Arabidopsis thaliana: one gene and its partners. The protein of the gene in region 1 binds, or shares a complex with, the protein of each later gene. Each region holds a gene or a part of one and is shown on either strand. Other genes may lie near its edges.

Region 1 (7,101 bases):
AAGAGCCAATAGATTTTTGACACGTACCAATTTGAAAGAACGATGTGGATTGTAGAACAAACAATTTAACTTTGTATTAAAGTGTATATAGGGCCAATAGAAGAGAATCAGACAAAGTTTATTACTGACAGTGAAAATAGGATAAGCTTTTATCTGACGTGGACGGAATCTCCTCGTTGACGCCATCCCATTGGATGGCCATGAGGCTACCACACGCCCGTAAATGTGGTTCTATCTAGACCCCAACACGTGGGTCTAATCCAACGGCCACTACACTCGATTCCCTCCTATATTACAAAACCCTTTCTTCTTCATCAGTTCATCATCCACATCGCATGCTGATCAAAGACATAGCTTCAAGGGAATTTCTTCATTTACCACTAAACCCATCATGGCACCACTTCTCCTGCTGGTTCACTGAGATTCCCACAACAGAGGAAACTGGCAAGGAGATCACTGGTGGTGGCAGCAGAAACAGCTGGCTCGATGAGCGGAGTCATATTCGAGCCGTTCGAGGAGGTAAAGAGAGCTTATCTAGCCCTACCAATCACCGCTCTTGTCTCCGTCGCTCACCAAAGATACGCACAAGCTTGTGAGGCAGCTGTTAACGAGCAAATCAAGTAAGCATCATCCAACTTATTAGCTATCAAGACAAAATAAAAAACAACACTTCTACATACAAGTTATCATAGTTAGCAAAGAAAAAGATAGTTGAAGTTAGTAAGATTTTTGTATTTTGTAACTAAAAAATACTCATGTTTCACTAATTCGATGGCACTAAGTCACACCATTGGTATTTTGTTAATGTTACCTCCAAATATTGCCACCTACCTAATTCACCTTCTATTTTGTAACAGGTTGGTTGTGCAGTGGTTGAGACAATGTCTCGTACGTGTACCATGCCATGTATGCGTATTTCGACAGAGAAGACATAACTCTTAAGGGTTTAGCCAAGTATTTATCGTTAAAATTTCATAATCATTCTAAGAAACAGAAAGTTATATATCTTCTCACTAATCCTAATTGCCTTTATAATTGCAGATATGTCAAAGAATCAAGCAACGACGAAAGAGAGCACACAGAGAAGTTCATGGAGTATCAGGTTTCATAATCTTGTTTCACAGTTTCCACAATGATTTTTGTTTCTCACTGTTCCTTCCCTCTTAATCAATAGATATCTAATTTTCCAATGTGGTCCCTAAAGAAGAACTAAGAACCCAAATCTATCTAAAGCCAATAAGCCATTAGTGAAACCAGAAGTTGCAGAAGGTACCCGTTTTGTTAAGAGTCCATTAAGGTGCTAGAATCGTATGTGGTCTTTGCTTCCTCAGAGATTCGAAGATGTGAAGATCATATCTGAAACTGAGATACACGTACGAGATCACTATTAAAGCCAATATTATAGAGACAAGTCACAGATACTATCTGATGACATGTACTTCGATTCTTACCTAAAATGTAATGACATGTTACTTTGTTTCTACAAGATTGACAATTCCTAAGCACAGAAGCTATGAAAAGTTCATGATCTTTTCGTAAAGATTCTCTTTCTTTGTGACTGATCTATTATAGAAGGTTCATAAACTACAAACTACTAAGCCTCATGTACCAGTGAAGATCCGACATGAAATTCCTGTAAAGACTTCATAAATACCATCTGTTGATCATTTCTCTAAATACTTCCGGAAAAACAGTTACCAAACTTGCATGAAATTTGAAAAGGGGAACTGACCATCTTCGTGAGGCAGGCGGTGACAATATTCATCAATAATCCAAAGACTCTGGCTATGAGGATTTGTATCTCTGTGAGACTGTGACTGTTTTCAAGAGACAGGGACAACAAAATTATAACTTCATAGTGTGTACTGTGTACACTCTCGCTAAATTGGATCGAGTTCTCTGGCCTGTAAAATCTACCCCAATATAAGACAGAAAAATGGCAAACCCTAACAAGTTCAATGGTTCAGTGGAGACACTAAGCAGGTTCCACAGTTCAGAAGAGAAGCTAGGTAATAATCCCAAAGTTTGCTAGGCCACCAAGATTTGGATTCAAAATCATTAAATCCTTATGAAAGGCGTTTAAGAATATAATGAAAGCATAGAAACTAAAAAACTGCACTTCTGTTCCTTTAGAATTTGTACAACCTAAATCTGAACTTGTGCATCAATCTGCACAGCAAAAAACGATCAGGAAAACGGCAGGAGCAGCTGCAACATGAACACGGAAACTTGCAGGGGGAAAAATCTTAGATTGATGATGATGTTACAGGAGAAGAAAATTCAAAATCATATAACAAAAATCCAAAGTTAAGTAAAGTAGAAAGTGTTTACATCAACGGAACTGATGGTAGATAAAGAGGTTTTTGGTTGCTAAGCTAAAACCAAGACTGCTCACACATATATCATACAAATGAAGTGGTGCCAAGTATGTTTATTGTTTGTTTATGATGCTCCAGATACTGTTACATGTCTCGTATGCCGTCATCTTATTTGTCTCGAATTGAAACTTCTCAATTAGCCTCTTTTCACGATCTACCATATCTAATATGATTTTCAAAATCAAGGATTCAAAACACCTAAGGATAAAAAGTGAACAATATATATGATTAAGAAAACGTTGATAGAATAGAGTGATGATGAAAGAACAGGATACAGCCTGAGATCTTTGATGGATCATCAATGTCCGGTATAACGTTCGTGACAGAAGCATACATTGATAGCTTTTTCCTGTAGATAAAAAGAGGGAACAATGAGAAAACAAATGTAACGAGCATTCATAACAAGCAACTGCAGTAGTGAGGTTTGTGGATCTTACTCAGCTCTCAAGTCGTCCCTCACTTTTCTCTTTGTAGATTGCTTATGTTCATCTATCGATGACAATTGAGCATTCAGGTCCTTGAGTTCATCAGCGACTAGTGTATTGACAATTAAAAAACCAAAAGATTAATTTTTTCATGTCACTGAATCAACAACTAGGATATTTTCACTCAAAAACAAACAATACTTATCTAAGCTCGTCTTTTAGCTTGAACTCCCGTTCCATCTCTTCGTCAAGCTCTTTCTGAAGACGTTCAATTTCATCTTCAGCCGCAATATCTGAATATGCTTCCTCAGTTTTCTTCTTACAAGCATAGAGTTTCGTCTTACAATCTGCGTCCAAACCAAAAAAATTCCTCGCTCAATCCAGCTAAAGCCACATTATTTATCTAGTAAATTATCTAGAGAACCAAATCGGAAAAACAAAACTGACCTTCAATAGAGCCTTGTATCTGATTGAAATCCTCATGGCAAGCAAAATTGAGAGCTTTGAACTGCTCAGAACTTTGAGATATAATATCAAAACCATTCTTAACATTCAATAAGTTGATCAAATCGTCTCCATAAGACATGAGATCTTCAATATCGAAATTCTCCGACGCATTTCCCATTTCTGCTGCGGAAAATTGAAAAATCAACTATCTAGCAGCAAAAGCCCTAGCTCCACACCTCAAAACCCTCACCAGAAAAATCGTAGATTTCTGATACCACCAAGTAAGTACGTGATATTCTGGAATCTGGAGAGAGGAGGGAGATATGAAGAGGAAAGATCTGAATTTTGATTTTTGATTTTTTTATTCCAAAAGTAAGTTTAATTTGACATAATTAACTGCTAAAAATATATGGACGCTAATATGGGCCAAGCCCATTAGTTTTCACTTTCCATAATGGGCTAACAAAATTTATGACCAATAAGACTCATGTTTAGGCTAAATCATAGCGGTCTTCATCATTTTGTCCACTATTTTGTTTTCTTTTGGTCGAAGATATTGTCAAGTATTAATTATGCAATTACGTGAAATCATGAGAGTCATCTCCTCCACACATATAGCCCAAAAAGACCTTGACTTTGAACATTTCGACTCTTTCGTCGTTGATAGCATAAGAACATGTCCATATTTGAAACTTAAACTCAATGCTCTCTCTTACTAGTTACTTCATACAATCAAAGTCAAAAAGCTCAAGATACCACTACTCAATGGGCATAGCAAGATCCATAAACTCGTTCATGTTCTTCTTCTTTCTAATGATATTATCAAACGCTTCTAAAAGCTCTGTTCTTGCTGAGGCCACGACAGCGAAATTCACATTCATAGGTTTCAAAGAAAACCAAACGGATATTCAAACAGAAGGAGCTTCCACAATCCAACACGACAATGATCTTCTTAGACTAACTAATCGGAAACAAAACGTCACTGGAACAGCGTTTTACCGCAAACCAATCAGATTGCGTGAGTTAACCAATTCCTCCGATATCAAAGTTTGTTCCTTTAGCACTTCTTTCGTCTTCGTCATACTCCCTTCAAGTCCCGGCAACGGTGGTTTTGGTTTCACGTTCACACTTTCTCCGACCCCGAATCGTCCAGGAGCCGAATCTGCACAGTATTTGGGTCTGTTGAACAGAACCAACAACGGTAATCCATCGAATCACGTATTCGCAGTGGAATTCGACACGGTACAAGGATTTAAAGACGGCGCAGACAGAAGAGGAAACCACATCGGTCTTAATTTCAACAACCTCTCCTCCAATGTACAAGAACCACTCATTTACTACGACACAGAGGATCGAAAGGAAGATTTTCAGCTCGAGAGCGGCGAACCAATCCGAGTTCTTATCGATTACGACGGATCCAGCGAAACCTTAAACGTTACAATCTATCCGACGAGATTAGAGTTTAAACCCAAGAAGCCTCTAATCTCGCGACGAGTTTCAGAGCTGTCGGAGATTGTGAAGGATGAAATGTACGTCGGATTCACCGCCGCGACTGGAAAAGACCAGTCGAGTGCTCACTATGTAATGGGTTGGAGTTTTTCAAGCTGCGGAGAAAATCCAATGGCGGATTGGCTCGAGATCTCGCGGCTTCCTCCTCCACCTCGCTTGAGTAACAAGAAAGGTTACAATTCTCAAGTCATTGTTTTGATTGTTGCTTTATCGATCGTCACACTGGTCTTGCTTGTGTTACTATTTATATTTGTGATGTACAAAAGGCGAATCCAAGAAGAAGATACTCTAGAGGATTGGGAGATTGATTATCCTCATAGGTTTAGATACAGAGATCTCTACTTAGCAACGAAGAAATTCAAAGAGAGTGAGATTATCGGTACTGGAGGATTTGGAATCGTTTACAGAGGAAATCTATCTTCTTCGGGTCCAATCGCAGTGAAGAAGATAACCTCAAATAGCTTACAAGGTGTTCGAGAATTTATGGCAGAGATCGAGAGTTTAGGAAGATTAGGTCATAAGAACCTCGTGAATCTTCAAGGATGGTGCAAACACAAGAACGAGCTCTTGTTAATTTACGATTATATACCCAACGGAAGTCTCGACTCGTTGCTGTACCAAACGCCGAGAAGAAACGGCATCGTGTTGCCGTGGGACGTGCGTTTCGAGATCATAAAGGGAATCGCGTCGGGACTGTTGTACCTTCATGAGGAATGGGAACAGATCGTGGTTCATAGAGACGTGAAACCGAGCAATGTTCTTATTGATGAAGATATGAACGCTAAATTAGGCGATTTTGGACTCGCGAGGCTTTATGAACGCGGAACGTTAACGCAGACCACGAAAATCGTTGGCACTTTAGGGTACATGGCGCCTGAGCTCACACGTAACGGTAAAGGCTCAACCGCGTCTGACGTTTTCGCGTTTGGCGTTTTGTTGTTAGAAATAGTGTGTGGGAATAAACCAACGAATGCAGAGAACTTCTTCTTAGCTGATTGGGTAATGGAATTTCATACTAATGGTGGAATCCTTTGCGTCGTGGATCAGAATCTCGGGTCTAGTTTCAATGGCAGAGAGGCTAAACTAGCTCTTGTTGTGGGGTTACTATGTTGCCATCAGAAACCAAAATTTAGGCCATCGATGAGAATGGTGCTTAGATATTTGAATGGTGAAGAGAATGTTCCACAGATTGATGAAAATTGGGGATTCTCGGATTCTTCGAGAGACGATCATAAATCGAATGTTGTAGGTTATGTTTCGTCTGATAGAGCCTCGAGCTCGAATACTTTTTCGTCTTTCTCCAATGTTTCTTCAAGCTCTATCGTTAGTGGTAGATAGTTTCATAGCACTTTTAGCATAGCTTATTTATTTTCTAGAAACAGAACATTTTGTATGTTTTTACTATTTATGCTAAGAAGGAACTAAATGTATGACGTGTGTGTCGATTATGTCTTATTATGGACCAGTGAACCCATTACCCATATTACTAAGTGAATGATAGATACAACTTGTACAATACAAGGGTTCATTGTTTCCAGCTTTATTAGGTACAATATTATTTTTGCATTACTAAAAACAGACTTTTCTTTTGTCTAAACATTTTTTTGTAAATTATAACATAAAATGCAAATAGCAAACAAAATATATTTTCTTATTCCAATGCAAACAAAATATCTTTCTTATTCCGTTTTAGTTTGCTTTTGTTATCAACTCAAGACTTTGATCGGTGACTTAAAACAAATGTTAAAAAGACGATCCAATCCCTCATATATGATTGAAAACTTTGATACAAAATGAGATTGACAGAAGATAAGACTAACAGGTCCGTTCTAGATTCTTTCCAAACGTAACAGCATGATTGGATCATTTTAAGCAATTTCAAGTGGAGAAAATAGAAAAATATTGTGTGTTGCCCAATTATTTCAATCAACAATTCAAAATTATTATGATATGGGCTTGGTAGGTTGATGGTTTCACTTTCATAACACAACGACAAGTGAACTACGAACCTATGCCTCAGTTTGTGTCCAGGTTCATGATGGACATGCCTATAATTAGAAACGTGTATTGAAAGAAAGCGTCTAAACTTTGCAATTGGCTACAGAAGTTTTAAAACAATGATTGCGTTGTGAACATTACTGAATTTTCATAACAACTCAAACCATTTTTTACAAATATTACGACACAGTTGTTTTGTTACTGTGATATCTGTTGTTTCTATGCTTTAAAATTTAAATAAACAACTGTGATTCGTTGTATAGAACCGTGTATCAGACTATCACTATCCTACAAGTTAATTAATTACGCCAAAAACAAGTTAATTACGCCAATCAAACTAAAGA
Region 2 (8,948 bases), on another chromosome or scaffold:
AAGATGCTCCAGCATTTTCCACTAGTGAGCTTTACATTCTTGAGAGAGAATAACGTTTACCTTTTCCATGGTATATAGATATGTTGGCTCAAACTCTTGAGTTTTACTCTCAAGCCACTGAACTGAAAAAACATAACAAACCAATTAAACCATAGCAGTTCATATAGACATCTTCCCATCCAAAGCACAAAAAACCAAACCTATGTGATTTTACTCTTCTAGTAGCTAAACCTCTCACATGTAAAATCGTAAAAAGGCTATTAAGAAGGTGCCGTTTGACAGAAATTTTATATGGTAGTTTGCGTAGCTCAAAACAAGGAATGATTTTCAAAAAGGAAATGTATGTAATCAATTCATTTACATGGTGTAAACGCTAATCTTGATAGGTTCATTCAGATGATGAAGAACAAAACTAAAGTAAATATAAAATCGAGATTCTATGGAGGTGGCTTTTACCTGCATAGTAGTTGACTTTATCCATATACAGTACATGCAACAATTTGGGCACATCAAGATTTAGCGGTATGCCAATGATGTTCTGCATTTAAATTTGAAGAGCAAAATAATTTGTTTTAGTAACAATATAAATAATCAGGATTGCAACCCATCAGATGACCTAAGTACTGTGGCACCAATAACAGATATCACAAGAGCTAAATTAGTAGCTAGACCTAAGTCCATTTTCCTCAAAAAATCAAGGGGAAATCTTCACACCCTGATGATTGAGCCACGTGCCAGTTAAATTTTTAGTAACATATATTTCCGATCAAAGGAACGCCGCTTAAGAACCCTGCTTTATAAGTGATATACCAAAAACATCCAACAGAAACCTCCCAGAGAAAATACAACATATATATATATATATATATATTACATGACAGCCATACGCACTATCTAAGTCAGAATCTGAGAAACAAAAAGGAAATGAAACAAAGAGGCGTTGTTACACATTCTAAGAGATAACTCACCCATATTTTTCTAACACCTCTGAGGATCCGTGCTGTATGCTGTAAAACGAAAGATATGCGCCTGTAACACTTTTTAAGAAAGCGAAGAATAGCTGCTCTGACATTCTCTTTTGCAGACACTGAGAAACTACTGCGGGGCTCTTCCTTATCAATTTTCACAAATGTATCATCGGTATTTTCTTCACTGGTAGAGCTTTCTGCATGATTGCAAAAGAGGCAGTGTCAGTACCTGCAAACGTCAAAGATATTGAGCTCCTACAAACAGTCTATCCAAACCAATAAAAAAACACCTTGATCAGTCTTTGACACTTCTAAACTATCAGTTGCAGCAACAACTCGAGGAACATCTGCAGCAGTACTTTCATCATTACGTGACCACAACCCTGCACTTGTTATCTATATCACAGAAAATCAGTTGGTTAGAGAACTAAGGATGAATAGAAATTTTATTTGTGGCTAACTGATTTCAAGAAAGAGTTTTCCAAAGTACGAGTGAGGAACCAGTTCAAAGCCTAGAAAATCTAAAATTTTTCACTAATTATGCATGCTAGCATCAGAAGCGATAATAGCTACATACCTTGATTTGCATAAGCTCTGCTTCAGCTAACTCAACTCCAGTCAGCTCACTTGAACAACCAGGCTTTAATAATAATCAAAAAAATTAACGAAATTAGTTAGAGAGAAACAATAATGGTCAGATAAGAGAAGCTTAGGAGAGTCTAGCAAAGATAAATCTTAGGAAGGCATGCACACTACACGAAACTCTTAAAGTAGAAGAGAGCTAAGCCAACAGATATTTGATTTTTGAAGTTTGCAATCTTAGAAGTATTCAAATGCATTTGCATAGGCCGTAATTCCTATTGGAAAGTGTACTAATGTTTACATAAACATAAACACAAAGAAATCAGAAAAGTATCTTCCGTCGGATTTATATAATTATGACCAGTGCAACCTTAGTAAAGATACAAACAGTAGTCTCCTAACCACGCTCATGCGAACATGTTCTACAGAATTAGCTTAAGCTCCACAATTCATATCAGATTACTCCTAACACAGAAAAATGCTACATCATCCTTTTCAAATTGTAGTATCTCAGACTTAAAATTTCAACAATGAAGTCATTAACAAAGGCAATTTGCACTAAAAACGACCTATAAATTAAAGGATTCAATACGAGAGTCAAAAATTACCTGCTGAACATAATTGGCGTGCATAACAACGAGGATACAGAACAAAGTGATGGCAACGAAGAGGTAAGTATACTCTAAGAAACCTCTAATCCTTGGCGTTAAGATCTGCGAAAACCTCTCCTGAACCCTAATAAACGTCTGCTCCGGATCCATATTTCGGATCTCCGATGCACTTTTTCGTCTTCTTCGTTAACACTACGTAGTCATCGAATTTGAATTGCTCCGTTGCGAGGATCGTAGATTTCTTCTCGTTCTGGGAGATTGTCGAATCCACAGAAATTGAAGAGTGAAGATGATTGAAAAGAAAAGCACCGCGAAGCAAATTTTACACTTTGTTTGCTGTTAAATTGTTTTTATTTTTCTTCAAAAATCCCTAGTGAGAGTGGCGCAATTGGGAAAGCGATAGGATTCTTTTGCTTCCAGGACAAGAGTTCGATTCCTTCAACACAACCATAAAGCTCTCATTTTCTCTTCATTTTTTTTCTGTTAACATTCTTTTATAAACTACTTCAATACATGCCATTTCCATGAAGAGAAATTCATAACATTTTCCAACTTTAATACAATCACAAGAGGAATTTAGTAGTCAAATTCTTAACCATTTGCAGAGAAAATGTGCTCATTACAATCTCTCGTCTACCTTAATTTAGATGAATCAGACCTTCCTTGTCCTTTAGAGGCTTGGTAGAAACGCATCAAACGACACCGTGTATTCATGAAACTGCAAATATCAAAAGCAAGGCTCACTAATATGTCTTACAGAGAATCTGGAAGAACCCTAGTAGCTTTTTAACTTTGGAAACCTCTTTAACTTGATGCACCACAAAGCTTTTGTTTCCATGGTTCAATATATTAGCAGATAAAAATAATGGAAACGAAATAAACCTGCTTCACGATCTCTTCATATTTAGCGGCTAGTTTTTTAACTTTAGCTTCTCCTGACTGTCTCACCTGGTTAGTCTTCGCAGTATTGTCATCAACCTGTTGATATATAAACAAATAAAACTTACGGAGATGATAAAGCATCGTGCACAACAGATTCACGTTGTTAGATGTTCGATAGAAAGGAAGCAATACCATAGCTACTACTGATTCAACATTCGTTTGCCTGGTTTCAAGTTCACGTCTTCTGGATTCAACCTCCACTTTTAATTCATTCAACTGTTTCGTCCAATCATCAAACATGACTGCTTTTTCTTTCTCTAGTTGTTTCAATGATTCGTTCAACTGTTCCACTGTTGACAGAAGAGATGATTACAGTCTCCGTCCCAAAACAAAATTCAGAAACAATATCTGAAGAAGGAAGAAATAAACCAACACTTGCCTATTCTTTCCCGCTCAACCACTTTCGCCTCAAGTGATTTGTATGCTACCCCATCCTCACTCAGCTTATCTTTAAGAGCTTTGAATTCTTTCTCAACCGTTTTCGCATTGGTTACCTGTAACATCATCAAATATACATAAAAATGAAAGATAAATCTAAAGACACATTAGATCTCATTCCAATAATTGGAAGGATCTGTGTGTTGCCACATGCTAGAGATACAATACATGGTTCACAATCTATAAGCAATGAAAGAGGAAAGGAGTTTTTTTGCTTGGTCACCTGTTCGTTTATTAACTGCAGTTGCGAAGATGACTTTAAAATTTTCTTCAAGGCCTGCAAAAGGCAACCATAGTTGAATAAACTTTATTACCTCAATATTAAAGCAAAACTTATTCGACTCAAAAATAAAGCATAAAACTGTTGCAAGACAAAACATAAGAAAATTTTGAAGTAACAACACAGAATAAGGTCTCAATCTAATATTTTCCATCTTGGGATCATTCTCATCCACTATACAACAAAATAAAAGAAGTTCTTCCTAAAGCTTCTGGACAGAATTTCATGAAGTATGAACAAAAGTGATAGAGCAATAAACACACCAAACTTAGAAGAATAATGACTTGAAATATCCTTCTCTAAAAACTGGTTTGAGAGCAGTATCCGCAGTGACCATTAAGTTGCAAATGTCGTAAATGCATTTAGCTACTTGCTAAGCGACAGGATTTAGTAACAATCTAGAGTTTTCATTAGATACCTTTTCAAAAACCTCAAGAATGGCAGCCTTTTCCTGGAAAGTTACCATTGCTGATTGTTCAGCTTTCTTTGTTTCCCCAAGTACTAGTTTCTTCTCTTCTAAAGCTCCCTGTCTCCACAACAAACGTTTATACTAGTGTATACCAAAAGTTTATCTTAGGACTAGTACTAGTTGGAATAAAAATATACCTGCAATTTGTCCGGTGATTGAACAATTTGTGAGCGGAGGTTTGCATTTTCTTGGACAGTTTCCACAAGATCAAACTCTGCTTTGGAAATCTGTAGAGAGAAATACACATGTCAGGAGCAGAAAACGCCTCTCAAGTTCAAGCATATGCAAATCACCTAATTGACAAACAAAATTTGTTTCTTCACCAACTTCATAATAAATTACAAATAACCCAATTTAGTTTGAGGAAGGAGCTCGACACCATATCCTGCGGTTACGTACCTCGTTATCCATCTGTGTACTCTTCTCTCTCATTTTCTGGAAGGTAGCTCGCAGTGACATCTGCTGATTATTTAGTTCCAATATTTTTTTATTCAGTTGTTCAATGTTCGCTTCTAGCTCTTGGACAAAAGGTAAGTCCCTCTCAACGGCTTCATCAAATTCTCCAATCTCTGCATTCAACTGCATGTACAGCTTTTAGAAAAAGATAAATGACTTATCTATGGGATACATATTTTTCTTGCATTACCTGAGCAACCTTTGCCTCACACTGCTTTCGCTGCTCATCAAGGAGACCCAACTCTTCTGCCTTTGGTCTTATAAGATCCATTTTCGAGTCTCTGGTACGAAAAAAAGATTAAAGAAGATCAAGTGGGACAAATAAGAACTCTCTATTTTAACTTCTTGGTGCATCGAAATAGATACTACAGAGAAGAACTAAGAGCATGAAGGACATACTTGTATAGACCATAGTTCAAAAGTGCGCTGATGAAAAACTCGGTTCGGGATGATTCAGGGCGTAAGAGATCCTTGAAACTAATTGGTAATGGACAATCAAGCATTTCTAACATATCTTTCACTTTGCAATAAAGCTTCATAGCTTGCATTGAAGTGGCATGATGATCTGGATTCTCCAATTGCTCCAAAGCCTCAAAATCAACTTGCCCTTTCTCTTCTCTACAATGTCGAAAAACGCAATTCAAAAAAGAAGCATCATCAGAAATTCCCCCAAATTGAAACAAAAAATAGGGTTTTCAAAATTACTTAGCAGTTCATACAATCAAAAATAGAAAATCCCAAAGATTCAATATTTAACATAATTTCTGACAGAATTCGATGACCTAGCTCGAAACTAGACGAAGAGTTTCAAAATCGAGGGTAAAATTGAGTGAAGAGCTAAGAGAGGAACTAGGGTTTTGAGGAGTACATACTCGTCGAGGGCGTCGAGATAGATAAGAATTCTGGTGTAAAGCTCGGAGACAAAGTCGGAAGTTGGGGTTTTGAGATCGGTCTCTGTAACGCTAGCGATTTGAGCATCCTTGAGCGCCGTGATAATGTCGGAACGAGAGAGCCTCGGGTACTCGTAGGCTGACATAGTTTTCAGTTTTGGTCAGGTTCGGATTTGTTGTGTCTGGATTCGAAGAAACTGAAAATGACAATTTGGAAAGAAATGAAAAAAAAAAAAGAGAGCCTTTGATTTTAGTTGGGTCAGGTTCGATTTGTTTTTTGCATTTGCTTTTCCCGCCTATATGAAACTGCAGTCTCTGCAGATATTGATGCATATTTGGATACGGTAGAACGTAGAAGCTTTTATAAATAAAATTAAAAAAGAAACTTTAATCTACAAAAAAAAAAATTAAGCATTTTAATATTGTAGAGATTTGGTCTTAATATCTTGATGCACTAGACATCTTGCCAAAACATAGAGGTCAAGAGACATTCACTGATGTGAATAATGTATACTTTGTACGTGGAAAAATAATAGAAAATGTGCTCATTACAATCTCTCTTCTACCTTACTTTAGCTCAATCAGACCTGCCTTGTACTTTAGAGGCTTGGTAGAAACGCATCAAACGACACCGTGTATTCATGAAACTGCAAATATCAAAAGCAAGGCTCACTAATATGTCTTACAAAGAATCTGGAAGAAGCCTAGTACTTTTTTAACTTTAGAAACCTCTTAACTTGATGCACCACAAAGCTTTTGCTTCCATATCCTAGATCAGCATAATGATAGAAAAATGCATATGGGAAAAGCACGAATCAGCAAAATGATTTATGAAAAAACCTAAAAAAGTTAAAAACTCATAGTTGATAACATCCATAAGACTTGATCATTATCACAGTAGGGTAGTAGCAAAGTTTCTCAATAAACACCTTCTTAAATAACATCCATTAGACTTGATCATTCACTATTACTAAACATGGGAACAGAAACATCATCAGATGGATAAAACTCTATGATGATTTAAGATACCTCAACGATGACTTTAAAAAGCTACTAAGAAGCTGAGAGAGGGATTGGTTTCACAGCGCTCTGAATCCGCTCAAAAGCTACTCTCACTCTTTCCTTAAGACCTGAATGCTCACTCTCTACCTCTCCACTCTCTTTATCCAGCTGAGCGACATTGCCATCGACCCTAATCACCAGTTTCCCGTTTTCTCCTAGTTTCACATCCCCGAAAAGCGAAACAAGAAGTGCGTATATCACTTTCTCAACTTTCTTCCCGTTCTCTTCCTCGGATTTCACAGCATCTTCTTCTTCCATAACGATCTTGGGGACTTCTCGGCTGATGTTGAGAATCAGAGCTACAATGGAGTCTGAAACCATGTCACTTATTGGATCTGATGACCACTGAAGTGAGATGTGCTTCTCTGACTCTTGTTTCACCGTTACTCTTTCATGAACTTTCAGTGCTGGAAGCCCCGATTCCTCATCTGTTGAAAATTCCACGCTCTCGAAAATCTTCTCCAGGCGATGTTTTATCACACCAAAAGCTCCTACAAACGGGATTGTAATTCGCTGAGTTACAGTTGCTGTTGATAGCTGTGAGAAAACATGGAGTTCGTCAGGTGCCATTATCTGATAAGTGAACCCTTTCTTCACCAGAATCCCGCTTACTGTATCGCCAACATCAGGTGTCTTTTCCGCCAATCTCCCAATGGTTTTCGCCAATTTCTCAGAATTAAAATACATTTCCACTGACTCACAGTTCTTCGGGGTCATGATCTTTGTGTTTCCATCAGGAAACTCTGTTAAGAGCTTCTGTTTGAGCCTCATCATCTCGTTAGCTTCACCGTGAACAAGGATGATGTTAGGAGGCATGAGCTCTTTCAAGAACGTGCTCGTCTGCGCGTAATCTGCATGAGCAGAGAACGATATATAGTGCACTTGCATGTTGAGCGGAGCAGTAAGACCATTCATAAGAGTCACCTCCTTTGGTTCATTAATTATCGTCTTGGCCAGTGTACCTTCCACCATATAACCTGGTATGATACAAGCATTCTTCTTATCTGAACACCAGCTGTCAAAGAGTTGCCTTGAGAGACCGCTTTGAAGACCTCCAGGAGTAGCCATTACCACAGATGGACCGACATCATTAAAATCATCGATGCTGTTTAATGGAGAAATGTGCTTGAACACAAACGGATTAGAATTTGCAAACTGGTTGCGGATTCTGTCGTTCATAGATAATATGTAGGTTTGGTAAACCGCCATACACTTTTTGGCGAGTGGTGATGCATAGTAGATTGGGATATTGTGTAGATCTGGGTGGTTCGCCCAGTATTCATCAAGAATCAAGAGAAGTTCCTGAGCACGGCCCAGTGCAAAAGCCGGGATCAGCACACGTCCACCCTGAGCAACCGTTGAATGGATTACATCAGTGAAGCGTTTCTCACGAATATGACGAGATTGATGAAGCTGGACACCAGAAGTGGATTCAATGATGCATATGTCAGGGGAGAATTGAGGAAGCTCAGCTGCTCTCAGATGTCGGTCTTCCTCACGGGAATAGTCGCCTGTATAGAGGATTCGGACACCAGCTATATCCACCATAAACATGGCTGCACCCAAAACATGGCCTGCCGTGTAACACCAGAACTTTATGCCATTCACTTCAACTGTTTGATGGAAGTCAATTACCTATAGAGGAAATCAAATATAAACCTTAACTCAACAATCACAGTTTTGAAGCAGATTTAATTTCTTTTGAACTTATCCCAAACCTAGTGGAGCAGTCAAAGTATAAACATAGTCATAGAATATAATGCAGTACTAACCTCAATTTTGTCCATAGACTTGTTGATGTCTTGTTCATCGAACAACATATCTTCCACAGACACTTTGCTCACTTTTACATAATCTGTAAGCAACAGCTTGTAGATGGCCTTTGTTGCATGTGTCATGAAAACCCGCCCATTGAATGTCGTCTGATCAAAACATCAATAACCTGAATTAGTTCTCAGCTATGTTTTAACACATCCCAAAAAACAAAATCATTTTGAAAAGAGAAACAAACCTTCTCCAGAAAATAAGGTAGAGATGCTGCATGATCTATATGAAAGCTGCAACCAAAAGCATCAACACATTATATGTTATCTTAACCCAATAAACCTCTTACACAAAACACAAACTCTTTCAAGTAGACAAACAGAGACAGAACAAACTCTAGCCTCCTACAAGCTTGAACTAATTAATCCAAGAAGGTCTCTCTACTACACATCATCCTTCTGTTTTTGTATAAACAAACTTAAACTT
Region 3 (7,287 bases), about 18 Mb from region 1:
TGCAGTAATTTGCATCCGGAGAGTCTGGTGCTACAATGTCCAAAGTTACAACTTGTGTACGCATCAGGATGTCAAGGCCTATTGACCGGAGCTATCCGAAAACAGGTAATCCCTTGAACATCTGTGATGTCTTAGACATGTGATTAGTAAAAAACAATCTGTTTGAGTCACACCCAACCCAAACTCTTAAGAAGCGTCTCCTTATTTGTGATAGGTTTCTGAAAACTTCTCGGCTGGTGAGAACCATATGCCACGGAAACGCTTGGCTGATGCATCTAAAAGGATTCAAGCTTTACCTTCATTATACCAAGAAGTGAGTTTTAGTTTTAGTTTTTTGAGAGAGAATTAAGAAAGCAAGAAAGATATGTATCTGAAAGTTTTTTCATATTTTGCAGACAAGGGAAGATGGTATTTATGCAGGGAAGAGAAGGAAGTTGGAGAAAGAAATGTGTACCATTATACATTAATAATCCTTTTATTGGACTCGTCACAATTTTCGTCTACCATATTTATATTTACTGTACTGTGTACATCAGATTATGTTGGATCACGTTCTCTTCTGTTGTTTCACTTATCAACTTTACATGTTTATCATTGTTCTCCAATTGCTTCGAATAAATTGTATGATAACATTCTGTATTTGTTTAAATTATATACTACTAGAGTACTAGGGGTATTTTCTTTGATTTCAGACTTTTGTTTATGATTTGTTACTTGTTTCACATAAGAATAATTGGTCAAATTTATTTGGTCTCTCTTTCTCGCAAATCATATACAATATACAACTCTAATCTTCTCCACCAAACTCTAATCTTGTTCATCTTTTTTTATTCAAATAGTTTAGAAAGTTCAAATATACTAATCTTTATCAAAGAATAATCTTTAGTCAAATTTTAATAATGAAATCAAATATCTTACAAAATGGAAAAACAAAAATATGGGTGTTTGATTTTTACAAAACAAAGATGGAAGAGCAAGTCAGAAGTCAAAATAGCTCGAAGATGTAAGTGACGGCGCCTGAATACTCTTGGCTGGTAGATTTCACCTACCTCATTTTTTTCATATATCTCAAACGTGGAATCGCTGTTACTCAGTTTTTATATATAAAAATAAACACTCGCTCTTCTTCAACCAAACTCATTTCCAAAATTCCACAAAGTTTTTCAAATGGCGATTGCTTTCAAATCCGGCGTCTTCTTCCTCCAATCCCCAAAATCTCAAATTGGATTCCGCCATTCTTCTCCTCCTGATTCATCGCTTTCTTTCAAGAGATTCACTCCCATGGCTTCTCTCTCCACCTCTTCTCCTACTCTCGGTCTCGCTGATACTTTCACACAGCTCAAAAAACAAGGCAAAGTACGTTAATTCTCCGTCTTTCATATTCCAATCCGTTCCTCAAGAATTGGACTTTTAAAACTTATCGTTAGTTCTGGTGGGAAATTTGGATTTGAAAGAATCACAAAACCATGTGTTGTTATTGCTTATGAATTCTTCTTATCAGATTGAGTTAGCATTGAGTTTGATTAGGTTTGCAATCTTGGTCTTACTGATACGATTGGATTTTGTAATTTACAGTTCATTTGCAATTTGTTTAACTTTTATGTGTGAAGGTAGCATTCATACCATATATCACAGCTGGTGATCCGGATCTCTCTACTACTGCTGAAGCATTGAAAGTTCTTGATGCTTGTGGTTCTGACATAATCGAATTGGGTGTTCCTTACTCTGACCCTTTAGCTGATGGACCTGTTATTCAGGTTTAAACCAACTATCAAAATGCAACCTTTATATATGCTTCCCTTGCCTTTTTTTTGTTTGATCATCTTGCTCTTTGTTATCTATTCAACTAGGCTGCGGCAACAAGGTCGTTGGAGAGGGGAACAAACCTCGATAGCATCCTTGAGATGTTGGATAAGGTGAGTTTAGTTTCTGAAGGAAAGATGTGTGTTTGTGTCCCCTGTCAGATATCGTTCCTATATGTGTGTTCTTATTGTTGGACTTGGTGCAGGTTGTTCCACAAATATCTTGTCCGATTTCGTTGTTCACGTATTACAACCCGATTCTTAAACGTGGGTTGGGGAAGTTCATGTCCAGCATCAGAGCTGTTGGTGTACAGGGACTTGTGGTTCCCGATGTTCCTCTTGAGGAAACTGAGATGCTGAGAAAAGAAGCCCTCAACAACGACATTGAGCTGGTAAGCATATAATCTGAAGGACGCATATATCTTGGTAGCATGATTCTCAGTCATGCCAGTGCAGTATAGATTCATTTGTGTATCTTATTTATTTTCTTCGTCTCCTCGAATTTGGTTTTTCTTAGCTGAACCTACGTATCATTTGTCTCTGTGGAGATTTATTTGCCAGCCTTATCAATAGAAACAGTAGAAGCATTGTTTAGTGTAGACACTGAGACTACAGTACTATACATGTGTTTTGCTGGATCTGCCTCGATCTATTTTGACATTCGGCTTTCAGTATCTTTGCCTTTTAGTAAACATAATTTTGCTCAATGTTTGTAATCAAGGTCCTACTCACTACACCAACCACACCAACAGAGCGAATGAAGCTAATTGTTGATGCGTCAGAAGGATTTATTTACCTTGTAAGATCCCTCTCAGTGTATATTTCTCTTTGCAGATGTCACATGTGTTTACTTAATTTGAGAATGTATTGGCCCTTTTTTTGGGTTTAACAGGTGAGCTCAATTGGAGTGACTGGTGCACGATCATCTGTAAGCGGAAAGGTTCAGTCGCTCTTGAAGGATATCAAAGAGGTCTAATAACAGTTTTTTTTTTAAAGATTGTTTCTCAAATATCTTGAAATGATGTAGAAATGCTCAAGTTGTTTAGTCATTTGTAATTCAATGCAGGCGACAGACAAGCCGGTGGCAGTCGGTTTTGGAATATCAAAGCCGGAGCATGTGAAACAGGTCCTAAACCTTACAAAGCTTCTCTTATGTTGTCTTCATAGTTACTTCTTTGCTGACTAGTTTTGTTGTGTCAACAGATAGCTGGATGGGGAGCTGATGGAGTGATCGTAGGCAGTGCAATGGTAAAGCTATTGGGTGATGCAAAGTCGCCAACTGAAGGACTTAAGGAGCTTGAGAAACTAACCAAGTCTCTTAAATCTGCTCTTCTTTGAAACACAAACATTTGCAGACAACATCTTTAGATTGTGTTTTTGATTATTATCGGTGTGTGACAATGATGTCTCAATCTTTTGATACATTTCAAGTATGATTAATAAGTTACTGTGACTCAAGCCACACAACCAGTTGCTCGGTTTACACAGAATAATAAAAACGTTATGACTCAAATTGTTTTCCAATTTGGTTCGATAAATTTGCGACCCGGTTTGATATTATGGTTCGATTAAACCAGAACAAAACAACCCTATATATAATTTCTTTTGAAATGAATGAGAAATAAAAAAACAAAGAAATTCGAAGAGGTTTTTTTAGGTTTTCGAAAATTCAAATTACAAAAGTAATCCATCCCGCTGCTCTATAGAAATATATTTCCCGATCCAGTTCCAGTGTCAGTTGCTTTATCTGTAAAAAGCAAAAAAGAGATGAGAGGCGGAGCCGCGGGAAAGAGAAGAACGACGGTGGGTTTCGGCGGAGCGCCGCCGCCACCTCCACCATCAATCGAGCAACAACGTCACCTCTTTAACTCAAGAGACTCCGACGCCAGTTTCGCCAGCAGCCGTCCTTCATCAATCGGTTTAGGCGGCCGAGGAGCCTCCGATGACAGATCTTCGATGATTCGATTCATTAACGCCTTCCTCTCCACACATAACTTCCCGATCTCTATCCGCGGTAATCCTGTTCCTTCTGTCAAAGACATCTCCGAAACCCTAAAATTCTTGCTCTCAGCTTTAGATTACCCTTGCGATTCCATCAAATGGGACGAGGATCTCGTCTTCTTTCTCAAATCGCAGAAATGTCCTTTTAAGATCACCAAATCTAGCCTCAAAGCTCCAAATACGCCTCACAATTGGCCTACTGTTCTCGCCGTTGTTCACTGGTTAGCTGAGCTTGCTCGTTTCCATCAACATCTAGTATCTAATTCCACCTCCGTACCCGAAGATAACTCCATGAATTTCTTCGCGATTCAAAGCTTTGGTCACTTCATTCGCGGCGAGGATGATAAGGTTAACGATTTAGATTCTCAATTTTTGGGTAAATTGGAAGCGGAGAAGACTAGCGTCGCTGAAACTATCTCTGGTTGTGAGAAAATCTCCGGTGAATTGGAGGCTAAACTTGAGTCACTGAGGAAAGGTCCTTCGAAGAAAGAGTCTCTGGAGAAAGTTAAAGCCGATTTGGAGAATGACGTAAACAAGTTCCGAACTATTGTTGTGGAGTATACTGATAGGAATCCAGCGATGGAGAAAGTTGTGGAGGAGAAAGCTAAGGAGCTCAAAGCTAAGGAAGAAGAGAGAGAGCGAATCTCTGTAGAGAATAAGGAGTTGAAGAAGAGTGTGGAGCTTCAGAACTTTAGCGCGGCGGATGTAAATAGGATGAGAAGAGAGTTACAAGCTGTGGAAAGAGATGTTGCGGATGCTGAGGTTGCTAGAGATGGTTGGGATCAGAAAGCTTGGGAACTCAATTCACAGATTAGGAATCAGTTTCATCAGATTCAGACACTTGCCATTGACTGCAACCAAGCTCTCAGGAGATTGAAGCTTGATATTCAGTTCGCTGTTAACGAGAGAGGGGAAACACCTGCAGCGGTGATGGGTGTGGATTATAAATCGGTGGTGAAGCCAGCTCTGTGTTCGTTGTGCGATGGGATCAAAGGAAGCTCGGCGGAGAAAGTGGAGGAATTGGTCACTTTACAGCACCATAAGTCTGAAATGGCTTCGAAGATCGAATCCAAAAGGAGTCTTCTTGGGTCAATTCAGTTGCAGATCAATGACCTCGAAGAAAAGATGAAGTTGGTGAAGAAGGAAACTCAGGAGTTGAGTACAAAATGTGATTTGGAGGCGAAAACATTGGTTGAGAGTGTGAAAGCTGAGGCTTTGAATCTGGAGGTTGTGGAGAAAGAAGCTGCTGAGTTTGTAAAAGCTTCGGAGCTTAGATTGCAAGAAGCAGTGAAGGAGAGTGAAGAGGAGGTCCAAGCATGTGCTGCACAACTCTTTGCACTTATCGATTCGATATCGAAACAGAAAGAGTACATGGATTCGAAGATATCGGAGATCAAAACCGGTGTTGCTGATACTGCCAGTGCTGTTTCAGAGATATACAAAGCCAACTTCAAGAAGAACCTTGGTATCTAGTGGTTGGAATCAACTGAGCCAAGAGATTGTTAAAAGCGTGAGTAATTCCTATTGCTTTTGTTCACATAGTCGTATTAGCATCTATGTGTGGTATGTATGAGTTTTCAGGATGGATAATTGAAATTGCTCAGCTATGCTAGTAGTATATAAATATCTGTGTTTCTTTTTTCATTGAAACTTAGATGATAGGCACATAATCTAATATTCACAATGTTTAACTCAAAGAACGCTGTTATGATCAAGTTACATAGGATTTCCAATGAATACACTCTTACCTTCTTTTTACCATAAGCTGACTTAGGTGACTTTGATTCTTATTCGGTTTATCCCCTCGGGTCTCTTGAAGTCAGGCTATGTTTGCAGCTCCTCGGTTGTAACCTCTTTGGGTTACCACTTTCTTCAGTCTCACTGAGTTCCTCCTTTACTTGTTTAAAGCTTGCTTACTCATGCATCATATGTGGTGAGAATATCTTACTGATGATATGAATAAGAGAGAGTAGCTATCAAATCAAGAAAATGAGAGGAAGGAGTTAAAAAAGACAAAGGAAACCTAAGCTGCTTATCTATAAAGCCAACACATTATTCTTACCCTTTTGCCCACAAAGTAAATGACACACATCAACTAAAGTAGAAATTTAAAATGCCTTTGAATGCCTTAATTTGCATTTTTATTAAATTATTAACAGAAAAAAGATATGTTGGTTAGTACTAATCCAATACAATACAGAAACGTGTCAAGTATCCTAATCAATAATGGCGGCTCCACGTAAGACAAAAACAAATTAAGGAAAGAGCGAGAGAGAGAGAGAGAGAGAAAAAAGAAGAAGAAGAATTTGAGGCGATTGGGTAAGCGATGCACATCGTCTTCTCTGTCGATGATTTGACCGAATCCTTCTGGCCTGTTCCCGCTCCGGCGCCGTCGCCGGGATCGTCATCGACTCCGTCACCGACGCAGAACGTGGCGGATGGGATGACTCGAAGTCAATCGGAGTGGGCGTTCCACAGGCTTATCAATGAGTTGTCTGGTTCCGATTCGAGCCCTACGACTAACACAATCGAGAGATCACCTCCACCGGTTCAGTCTCTTTCGAGATTAGAAGAAACCGTTGACGAAACCGAAGATGTTGTTGAGATTCAGAAACCGCAGAATCATCGACGGCTCCCTGTTGATGATCAAGGGAAGAATCGGAATCGTGCTCCGTCGTCTGATCCGGTTGATTCTTCAGCTCCTGTTGTTGTTGATCCTAATCAGTATCATGCGATTCTTAAGAGCAAGCTCGAGCTTGCTTGCGCTGCTGTTGCTCGTCGTGTACGTCTCTTAGATCCATTTCTTATGTGTATTCAGATTAAAGGAATTGATGATTTCAACAATAAGGAATGTTTGGTTGTGTGTTGATTTGATATGATTTTCTTCAGGTGGGAACTGTGAAACCGGAAGATTCGAGTGCTTCAGCTAGCAATCAAAAACAAGCTCAAGGTCACGTATCGTTGCTTTGTTTTGGTTTTGGTTTTTTGACTCTCTCTAGCTTTGTCTCTCGTCAATGTCAATGTTTAGATTACATAGAGAGCAAACATTTCATCGAGATTTGTTTGTCAATTTGATTAGACAATTAATTAACTGCTAATCTCTCTCAGTAAACTCAAGACTTTAAGGGAATTTGAAGATAAGTAGGCTTTGTTTTGGAGATGACAGCTTTCTCTGTGTTCATTCATATTTAATTCTGTTCTAGTCGAGTCAATTTTTTCTCTGAGAAGAAAGAAACAAGGCATACGTAGTATTATGCGTTTAGATGAGAATTCTTAGCCTTTTGACTCTCCATTCTTATTAGTGTAAGTTAGTGCATTATACTAGATAGCTTTCTTATTTCCCGCTTCTTGTGATATGTACCTGGATGAAATGTTTTTCAGTTAGTGGATAATGGGATTATTTTGAAATTATCTAGGCTCCATTGTGGCACAAACCTCACCTGGTGCTTCATCTGTTAGATTTTCTCCCACAACAAGCACGCAA
Region 4 (7,597 bases), about 15 Mb from region 1:
ATAGATAAAATATGGAGGGTTTATTTAATTTTTGTTAAATTTAATTTTTGCATTAATAGATAATGCATGACATATACATTTCTCAAAATGGTATTACTACTTAAATAATAAAGATTTAAAAAGGGAAAAAAAAATTTGACCCAAATATATTTTTTTGGTCAACTTACTATATATGACATTGATGACTGAGAGTATTCAGCAACTGTTATATAGGTTTTACGACTATAAATAAAGAGTCTTTCACTCTATTTTCTTAACACATAAAAACCAAAATTTAAAAGAAGAAGAGATGGCGATGATGAAGGTAATGTTGATGGTGGTGATGATGATGGTCTTGGTTGGAACCATAATAGTAATAGGTGAAGAGTCACATGCGGATTGTTTGAAACGGTGTCAGCAACTGTGCGTTGATAAGCCTTTGGATAAGAATTGCGTCCGCCAATGCGTCTTTTTTAATTGCGGTCCTCCTGCTCTTCCTACCAATGTTCATCATTCTAAGTATAGTATTCTTTTTTCTTCTATACCTTTGGTTTATCGTCTTATCGATAATAAAATTTAATTATGTATATGCTAAAACTGACATGGTTTTTCATTTTTTTGTGATTTCTAGCAGGATGAAGGCTCCACAAAATCATGGAATTAGAGGATAGATTATTATTGATTTTTAGACCAAAAACATATAGCTTTTAAAGATTAAAATGATATAGAGTTTTTGTTCGTAAGTCATAAAACACTTGGATGTTTAGATGTGTTCTTGGCATGTTTGTTTCTACAGATTTTTTTTTAATACATGAATTCACAGTTCAGTTCGGCGGATTTTCAGTTTGAGTTTATAAACAAAATTAAATTGATCAGATGAAAATATACCATATCAAATGTCAAGTTACTAAATGGTGCAAAATCCAAAGATACAGTATTAGTGGTGGGTCTATTTGTGACCTCTTAAAAAAAAAATAACTCACTTCATTAATCCATTTTAATCACACAAATGAAAGATTTACTTATAGTCCACTAACTCACTCAGACGTACAAAAATTAACCACCATCTCTTAAATAAGTCATATTTATATCATCCGTTTTATTTTCAAAATTTCAAACAATCTCAAATGACACACAAAAAATTACTATACAATTGCGTGTATTATTCAAACATTTGACCAATTTGATATTTAAAATTAAACAGAACATTCAAACTGGTCAAATGCTTGAATGTTTGAACAATGCATTCAAATGTGATGTTTAAAATCACGGCTAATAGGAACTAAAATCCAGATTTAGATCGGTTTGTTGTCCAAAACCTCGAATTGTCGAGGCGGCCCATTAAAAACTAGTGCACTCGAATTTTCTTCAGGTATTTTCACTTTGACGCGCACACACACTTTACATCACCACATCAGCATGTAATCAATTAAAACCCACATCCATCAATCATCATTACCTAAAATTTGCTAAATTAAACTTCAACTGTTTCTCCATTTTGTTTGCCGCCAGGCTACGCTATTGAACTTCAATTGTCCAGTTAGATTTGTTTCTCTTCTAGCATAATCTCATGCATGTACATTTATATATGTGTACTCTGGCAACTGACTTTTTTTCTTCTTTCTAACCTTCAATATAAATATTATATGAAACTTGAAAGTAATTATATATATCAAAAGAAATCTAATTAGAACCATTATAAGTAATAAAGAAAAATGTTGACAAAAACAAACTTGCAAAAGTAATAAAGAAAATTTTAATATTTTTAATTATAGTCTAGTCAAACTTTAAATTAATGATTTTAACTTTTCTGGACATTAGTTTTATATATACTACACACACACCTATGACAAAAAAGACATGTATACGTAAACATACACTTACAGGGAAAAAATTAAAGGAAAGAAACTAAAAAAAAATGGAGATGAAGAAATGTAGTATGATCATGATGATAATGATGATGGTGGTGATGGCATCCATACGAGGAGGAGAAGCAATTATAATAAGAACAACATGCAAGCAAATGTGCATCGACCAATGTGGTGGCCGCATCACTGTCCCTGAGACCCCTTGTCTCCGTAAATGTCTTCACGAAAAATGTGGCTTTCCAGCTCCTCCGTAATAATTCGTAACCTCGTATATATTTACGTATATTGATCAAGTATACCTTTTAATTTGTGTTGACTAATAATTTATATTTATCGCGACATTGCAGGATGGAGGCTGTAGGAATGGAAAACCTCATAGGATAGATCCTCATATCCTCAGTTTACTTTTCATAAGTTATTGTTGTGGAAGGAAAGAATTACAATAATTAAGAGTAATGAACAAAAACTCAGTTTACTTTTCATAAGAAATTTTGATGTGTACAATGATTTTTTCCTATGATCATAAAGATTTCCGAGGCCAAAATTAGGGTCAACATTCATTCATATTGGATTTGAACCTTATTTTGATCCTTATAAAGACTTTCTTCGATCGATTTACTTCATCCATATTTTATGGCCCTTTCTCCTTCGACAACAACGCATTAATTCTCAGGACGGGTGCGTTGCAATGTAAAAAGTTCTTTCGAAATATTTCATCCGATTAGTTTTCCTCAAAAGTATTAGTTTCAATTAAATTAAAGATAATAGCCTAATTATAAGATAATAGCTTAATTATAAAGCCAGCCAGATTACTTCAAGTTGAAGTAATCAAGCAAACTATCTAACACTGATAATTCGTTTAAGCTCCGATGCTATATATCTAGCACATGGTTAATGCTATAACAAGTTAACACCCTCTGCATGGTCCAATATCTATAAAAATTCTAAACAGAACAAATTAATGTACAAACACAGAACAAAATAATGTACAAAACACATTTTTGTCCCTTTTGCTTACTTACACAGTAAACTCATTGTCTTATCTACTCATTACAGGTTTTATTGAATTAATTATCAAAAACATACGCACCCATTTCTACTGATATATAGTGAAAATACTCTAATTTATTATTTTAAAAAAAAAAACACTTTGCAGGTCTAAAGTGAGCTAGGGACGTGAAAAAACTGAAAATACATATTGAAACTAGACGAAGGAATTGTTATGTTCAATATGTATTTAGTGTTAATTAAAAGACTAGTTGCTTGAAGGAAGAGAAGACATGCAATGATGCAATGCAGAAAACGTAGTTAATGCATTAAAAGAGTCTTTGACTCTCTAAAGTGTAACCGTAGTATTCGGTTTTGTCAGCTCCTTCGGCTAACTAATTAAAATCCTAACGGTTCAATTTTCAACCTTTCACACACTATTCAATATTACTATTTTCCGAAAAATTGGTATGATAAAAATAATATTATTGTAACTATATTGTAAGTAAGGGTTTTGATTTAGAGCGATTAAAAATGTTATAAATCAAAATAGTGATTGATGCCAAACGCGTATTAAATCAAACGTTTGCCGATGACTGAACTACTTTCGGTAAACGAGAAACCAGACAAATGGGCCTGTCTCAGAATAGCCTTTTAAGGAGCCCAATAAATTTGGACGTAGCACGATATGAAAACGCCATCGTTTTAAAGTTCTCATCACGATGGTTCGCGTTTTGAAGCATATTTTCGAAACTCGAATCAAAATTCAAATGGCGGGCTAAACTTCGATTCAGTCTCTCTCTTTCTCTCTTTGGTGATGGAACAAATTAGCAACATCGCTGGTGGAGACACAACGAAAGAGACTATGGCGTCTCTGGGTCTCATCTGTGAGAAAGATATTCATGAACAGCGTCTTAAAATCGATTCTTTCATCGCTTCTCCTTTCCGGAGATCGATGAACTCTTTAGTGGAGCGAGCTCAAGCCACTGCTCAAAGCCAAGGTAAAATTCAAAATTCGCATAGTACCACTCAGTTCCGTATGACCCAGATCGTAAATTTCACACTTTTTTACGGTTTAGGCTCTGTCTCTCTGAAATTAGGGTTTTAAAATTTCGACATCAGACTGGTAAAATTGAGCGGTTCTGTGAAATGTTTCTTTGATTTTACAGTGGAACTAATGAATTTGAAAGCGGATCTGAGAGAAGCAGAGGATGAGCTAGTTAAAGTGTTGGCAGGTATTATTACCTCAAAAGCTTGAAACTTTGAACTTAGTTTCTTAAATCATAAGATTCTCCTTGGTGTTATTTTCATGCTTACATACATTGTTTTGCTGAGTTTGGATATCTTACTGTCTTTGGGATGTTATATGTTTGATGTTTAGTGAAAACCCGTAAAGAGGCACGGCAAATGGGGATAAGAGATTCCATTTCTGCAACACAATCTAGGATTGAAGTACTTAGAAGAAATTTGCAGCTACAGAAGTCAAAGAAGGATGATTCTGTGAGAATTATCTCCCAACAGTTGCAAGGTATCGTTATATAATTCTGAAGTTCATTATACATACAAGTTTCATGAGTCAGCTACATGCTTTGGGATTTTGTAAAGTGAAGATATCTATAAAAAGTACTCTGCTTGTTTCAATAAGAGATCACATGAATCACTGAAGACCAAGCTAACATATTTCTTCCAATAAAGCCTTGTCAAAATCGAAGGACAACGCTGGTAAAGTCACCGAAGACAAAGCAGATATTCATGAAGCAATCTCTTGGTATAATCATGCTCTCGGTTTTCACGTTGAAGCTGGACATGGTAATAGAGACATTTTGAGTTTGTAACAATCTTAGTTCTATATTACTAAACCTTAGCCCTAAAAGAGCTTTGTTGTTTTAACTTCTCTTACAGGAGTTAAATTCACATTCACCAACATTGATGCAAAAAGGCCGACCCGCGAATTTTCGTTCACAGTTCACTATGGAAATGACATCTACACACGTGAGTATATATATGTCTTCTTGAAGCAAGCATCAACTACATTATAATGTTTACAAAAAAACCTAGTAATATGAACTGTTTACAGTCGTTTACTTATATGATCATCAGTATTGGATAGCGATCTGCAATTGGATTACATCAACGAGATGGTTCAAGAATTGAATAAAACCAATGACCTTTTCAGATTTGTTCGTCTGATGAGGGAGCAGTTTCTGAAATCCACTTTATCTGGTAAATTGTCTCAAGCCTATCCTTTTATAACCTCTATCTCCATAAGTGAGAAATCTTATTTTCGATATATATAAAAGTTGAATATGACCAAGACTTGTGTTTTATTGGATTTTGTCAGAGCTGCCAACACATTCAGGACAACTGCAACAGGAAACGTCTGCCATATCTGCTTCAGCTCCAGCTATATCATTTTCCACTGATACAAACATGTCAACTCCAGAAAACAAAAGATCTAAGGTTCAAGTGAATCGGCGACAAAAAAGAGGTAGCGAATCACCACTCCTAGCTCCTGTATCCACATCTGCCACTCGCCGTTCTTCTCGCTTTAAGGTACTGGATACTCATTGTGTTCTTAAATGTTACAACACCAAACCAAATTCAAAATATTTGTTAGATACTATAGTTTCCAAAAGTAGGATACCAGAACCTATTTGCATAACAACTGGACATAATAATGTTCTATCTGATTAATAATACTTAACTGATCACATGGAGCCTATAGTATTTAACATACAACTTATATAGCAACTCTAACTTGTTACAGGGTAAGAAATGAAGGTGGAGCTCTGTTTTCCTTTTCACAAGCATCAAGGAATAAACTTAAGCGTAGATGATGCTGCGGAACTTTCGACAACAACAGATTGTTGTTTGAAATTCCTATAAATATTAGAATGTCATTGTAATCACGCTTATTGACAATGTTGATTTCTTTACTAGTGTGGATGCTATGCTTATACACCAATCGATGATGGAGCTTGTGGGACTAGATTTTAATCGATGTAATCTCGCGCTTCTCTATTTCTAGATTTCGTTAGCTAATGGATGCTTGTCTAGCTTCATTAAGATTGCGCATTAGAGATAATGATGGATACTTGAGCCATAGATTGTGCATTAGAGATGTACAGTTTATGCAATTTTAAAACTAAAAATATAGCCACAACCATATTTTCTATCTTAAATTAGACAAGAAAACAAATCAAACACCATTCTCCAACTCGTTGTTCCTCTTGAAACGACTCTTCACCTCGCTCATGAAGGCGAAGAAGGGATTTGGTGTAGCCAACGCGGGAGAACGAACATGGAAAAGTATAAGTGATAAAGGTCTTCCAACATGTTACAATCCCCAGCAAAACTCAGAGTTTGATAATCTTTGCAACATTCCAAGCTGTTGTGAAGCCCGAACTTGTCTTTACGCAAATTAGTAGACCCCAAACATGAATGCATCTTGCACCACATGTACATTGTATTAGCATCAAAAGGGTTTATTGCCAGCGGAATGTAATCAAAACCAGTCTCACTACAAGCTAGAGATATTTCAGATACTATTTCCCATTCCCGGCTCTTTAGCCTCCATACACGTAACTTATGCTCTACATGTGCATCATCTTTGTCTTGGGAGAAGATGTTCATGTACATGATATATCCTTGAGATGTTGTGCAAACTCATTTTAAATTTGGTGGTTTCGTTCCACCGTCAGGGAAAGGTGTAACTTGGCATCGATCAGATTCCGTGCCAGTCGCGTAGAAATCATGGAACACAACAACCTCTCCATAGTCGTTGTTGTAGCCTATCCAGTAAAGGTTTCCATACAAGCTAACAGGGTTGTAATCTATCAGACCAGACAAAGTGAGATGAGATTGGAGGGTTTTGAAACTCCATAACCCTGTCTCGGATGAATATATCAGTAAACTTATGACATCGTCCAAGTTACTTGTATCCATCAAAACAACTTTGTAACCTAAAACGACGTGATCCTCAAGTTTTGTGACAAGCCCAGAGGTTAAAAAATAACCAACTGTTGGAGGAGGCTGAGGGATTTCGACACATTGTCTTGAGATCGGATTAGCCACATAGTAAGTTAGTAATTTGTTGCCAGAGCTGATCAAAATCAATCCAACATGAGTGTAAGCCACGGCGAGTGTAACGTTTGGGAATTGAGTATTGAATTTGTGGGTTATGAAAGAAGAGATGTAAGAACTTAGAGATCGTGGAAGACCCCAAGTTTCGCATTCGTAGTGAGCCACGACTACTTCAGGTAGGACTCTGCAGAGGATTGACCATGAAGAATGAGAGTTTTGATGGTGGGTGTTGAAAAGTTTGCGGAAAAACGGAGATTCTACGAGCGATTTCCATTGCTTGCAAACTAGTTTTGAAGTGGTGATGATTGTTAGTGGTAATCTCGCAAGTATAATTGCCCATAGATCATCTGTTAAGAAAATCAAATCATCTCCTTCTTCTTCTTATTCTCTGTCTCCATCCCAATTGAGTTTTGAGTACACGACTTTACTCTGTTCAATTAAAGTTATCAATGTATATTTTAATGATTTTTTTTTTCTTTGTAATATTAACAATATTGTTGAATCAATACAATTAAACTAAAATCCATGTCTCTCCAAACCTGACACCTAAGCAAAACTTGGAGAAGAAAATTATACTTTTACATTCGAATTGGTTTGTTAGTTTTAATTTTTATTAGTTATGAGTTTTGAGGAAGATTTCTAGGTTTTTGTTTTGGCTCTCTTACTGTGAAATTGAGATG

The links.
Region 2: AT3G08880 (region 1) and AT1G61000 share a complex: the UniProt entries of both Arabidopsis thaliana proteins name them as parts of the NDC80 complex.
Region 3: AT3G08880 (region 1) and AT3G54630 share a complex: the UniProt entries of both Arabidopsis thaliana proteins name them as parts of the NDC80 complex.
Region 4: AT3G08880 (region 1) and AT3G48210 share a complex: the UniProt entries of both Arabidopsis thaliana proteins name them as parts of the NDC80 complex.

The regions. Positions count from the first base shown.
Region 1 is NC_003074.8:2,699,496-2,706,596, reverse strand, and holds AT3G08880 (plectin-like protein), read right to left. Parts: upstream 3,625-7,101; 5' UTR 3,429-3,624; coding exon 3,251-3,428; intron 3,151-3,250; coding exon 3,009-3,150; intron 2,918-3,008; coding exon 2,816-2,917; intron 2,728-2,815; coding exon 2,654-2,727; intron 2,542-2,653; coding exon 2,432-2,541; 3' UTR 1,783-2,431; downstream 1-1,782. Other genes in the region: AT3G08870 (Concanavalin A-like lectin protein kinase family protein), read left to right, coding at 3,953-6,097. UniProt on the Arabidopsis thaliana protein: Acts as a component of the essential kinetochore-associated NDC80 complex, which is required for chromosome segregation and spindle checkpoint activity to ensure proper cell division. Required for the maintenance of plant architecture.
Region 2 is NC_003070.9:22,468,265-22,477,212, forward strand, and holds AT1G61000 (kinetochore protein), read right to left. Parts: upstream 5,924-8,948; 5' UTR 5,783-5,923; coding exon 5,619-5,782; intron 5,365-5,618; coding exon 5,146-5,364; intron 5,028-5,145; coding exon 4,937-5,027; intron 4,870-4,936; coding exon 4,690-4,869; intron 4,518-4,689; coding exon 4,428-4,517; intron 4,348-4,427; coding exon 4,240-4,347; intron 3,819-4,239; coding exon 3,765-3,818; intron 3,598-3,764; coding exon 3,483-3,597; intron 3,394-3,482; coding exon 3,236-3,393; intron 3,140-3,235; coding exon 3,044-3,139; intron 2,880-3,043; coding exon 2,832-2,879; 3' UTR 2,564-2,831; downstream 1-2,563. Other genes in the region: AT1G60995 (S3 self-incompatibility locus-linked pollen protein), read right to left, coding at 61-122, 457-538, 969-1,165, 1,259-1,364, 1,546-1,608, 2,159-2,311; CPSF73-I (cleavage and polyadenylation specificity factor 73-I), read right to left, coding at 6,690-8,333, 8,471-8,620, 8,710-8,755. UniProt on the Arabidopsis thaliana protein: Acts as a component of the essential kinetochore-associated NDC80 complex, which is required for chromosome segregation and spindle checkpoint activity to ensure proper cell division.
Region 3 is NC_003074.8:20,219,184-20,226,470, reverse strand, and holds AT3G54630 (kinetochore protein), read left to right. Parts: upstream 1-3,442; 5' UTR 3,443-3,569; coding exon 3,570-5,276; 3' UTR 5,277-5,374; downstream 5,375-7,287. Other genes in the region: FBL17 (RNI-like superfamily protein), read left to right, coding at 1-105, 215-313, 396-467; TSA1 (tryptophan synthase alpha chain), read left to right, coding at 1,168-1,356, 1,611-1,757, 1,851-1,916, 2,009-2,194, 2,524-2,601, 2,695-2,772, 2,869-2,928, 3,006-3,140; BZIP25 (basic leucine zipper 25), read left to right, coding at 6,130-6,585, 6,693-6,753, 7,220-7,287. UniProt on the Arabidopsis thaliana protein: Acts as a component of the essential kinetochore-associated NDC80 complex, which is required for chromosome segregation and spindle checkpoint activity to ensure proper cell division.
Region 4 is NC_003074.8:17,845,784-17,853,380, forward strand, and holds AT3G48210 (kinetochore protein), read left to right. Parts: upstream 1-3,567; 5' UTR 3,568-3,651; coding exon 3,652-3,835; intron 3,836-4,003; coding exon 4,004-4,069; intron 4,070-4,215; coding exon 4,216-4,362; intron 4,363-4,529; coding exon 4,530-4,643; intron 4,644-4,736; coding exon 4,737-4,826; intron 4,827-4,934; coding exon 4,935-5,057; intron 5,058-5,175; coding exon 5,176-5,387; intron 5,388-5,601; coding exon 5,602-5,613; 3' UTR 5,614-6,002; downstream 6,003-7,597. Other genes in the region: AT3G48208 (Plant thionin family protein), read left to right, coding at 290-498, 611-650; AT3G48209 (Plant thionin family protein), read left to right, coding at 1,898-2,101; AT3G48220 (F-box protein), read right to left, coding at 6,501-7,101. UniProt on the Arabidopsis thaliana protein: Acts as a component of the essential kinetochore-associated NDC80 complex, which is required for chromosome segregation and spindle checkpoint activity to ensure proper cell division.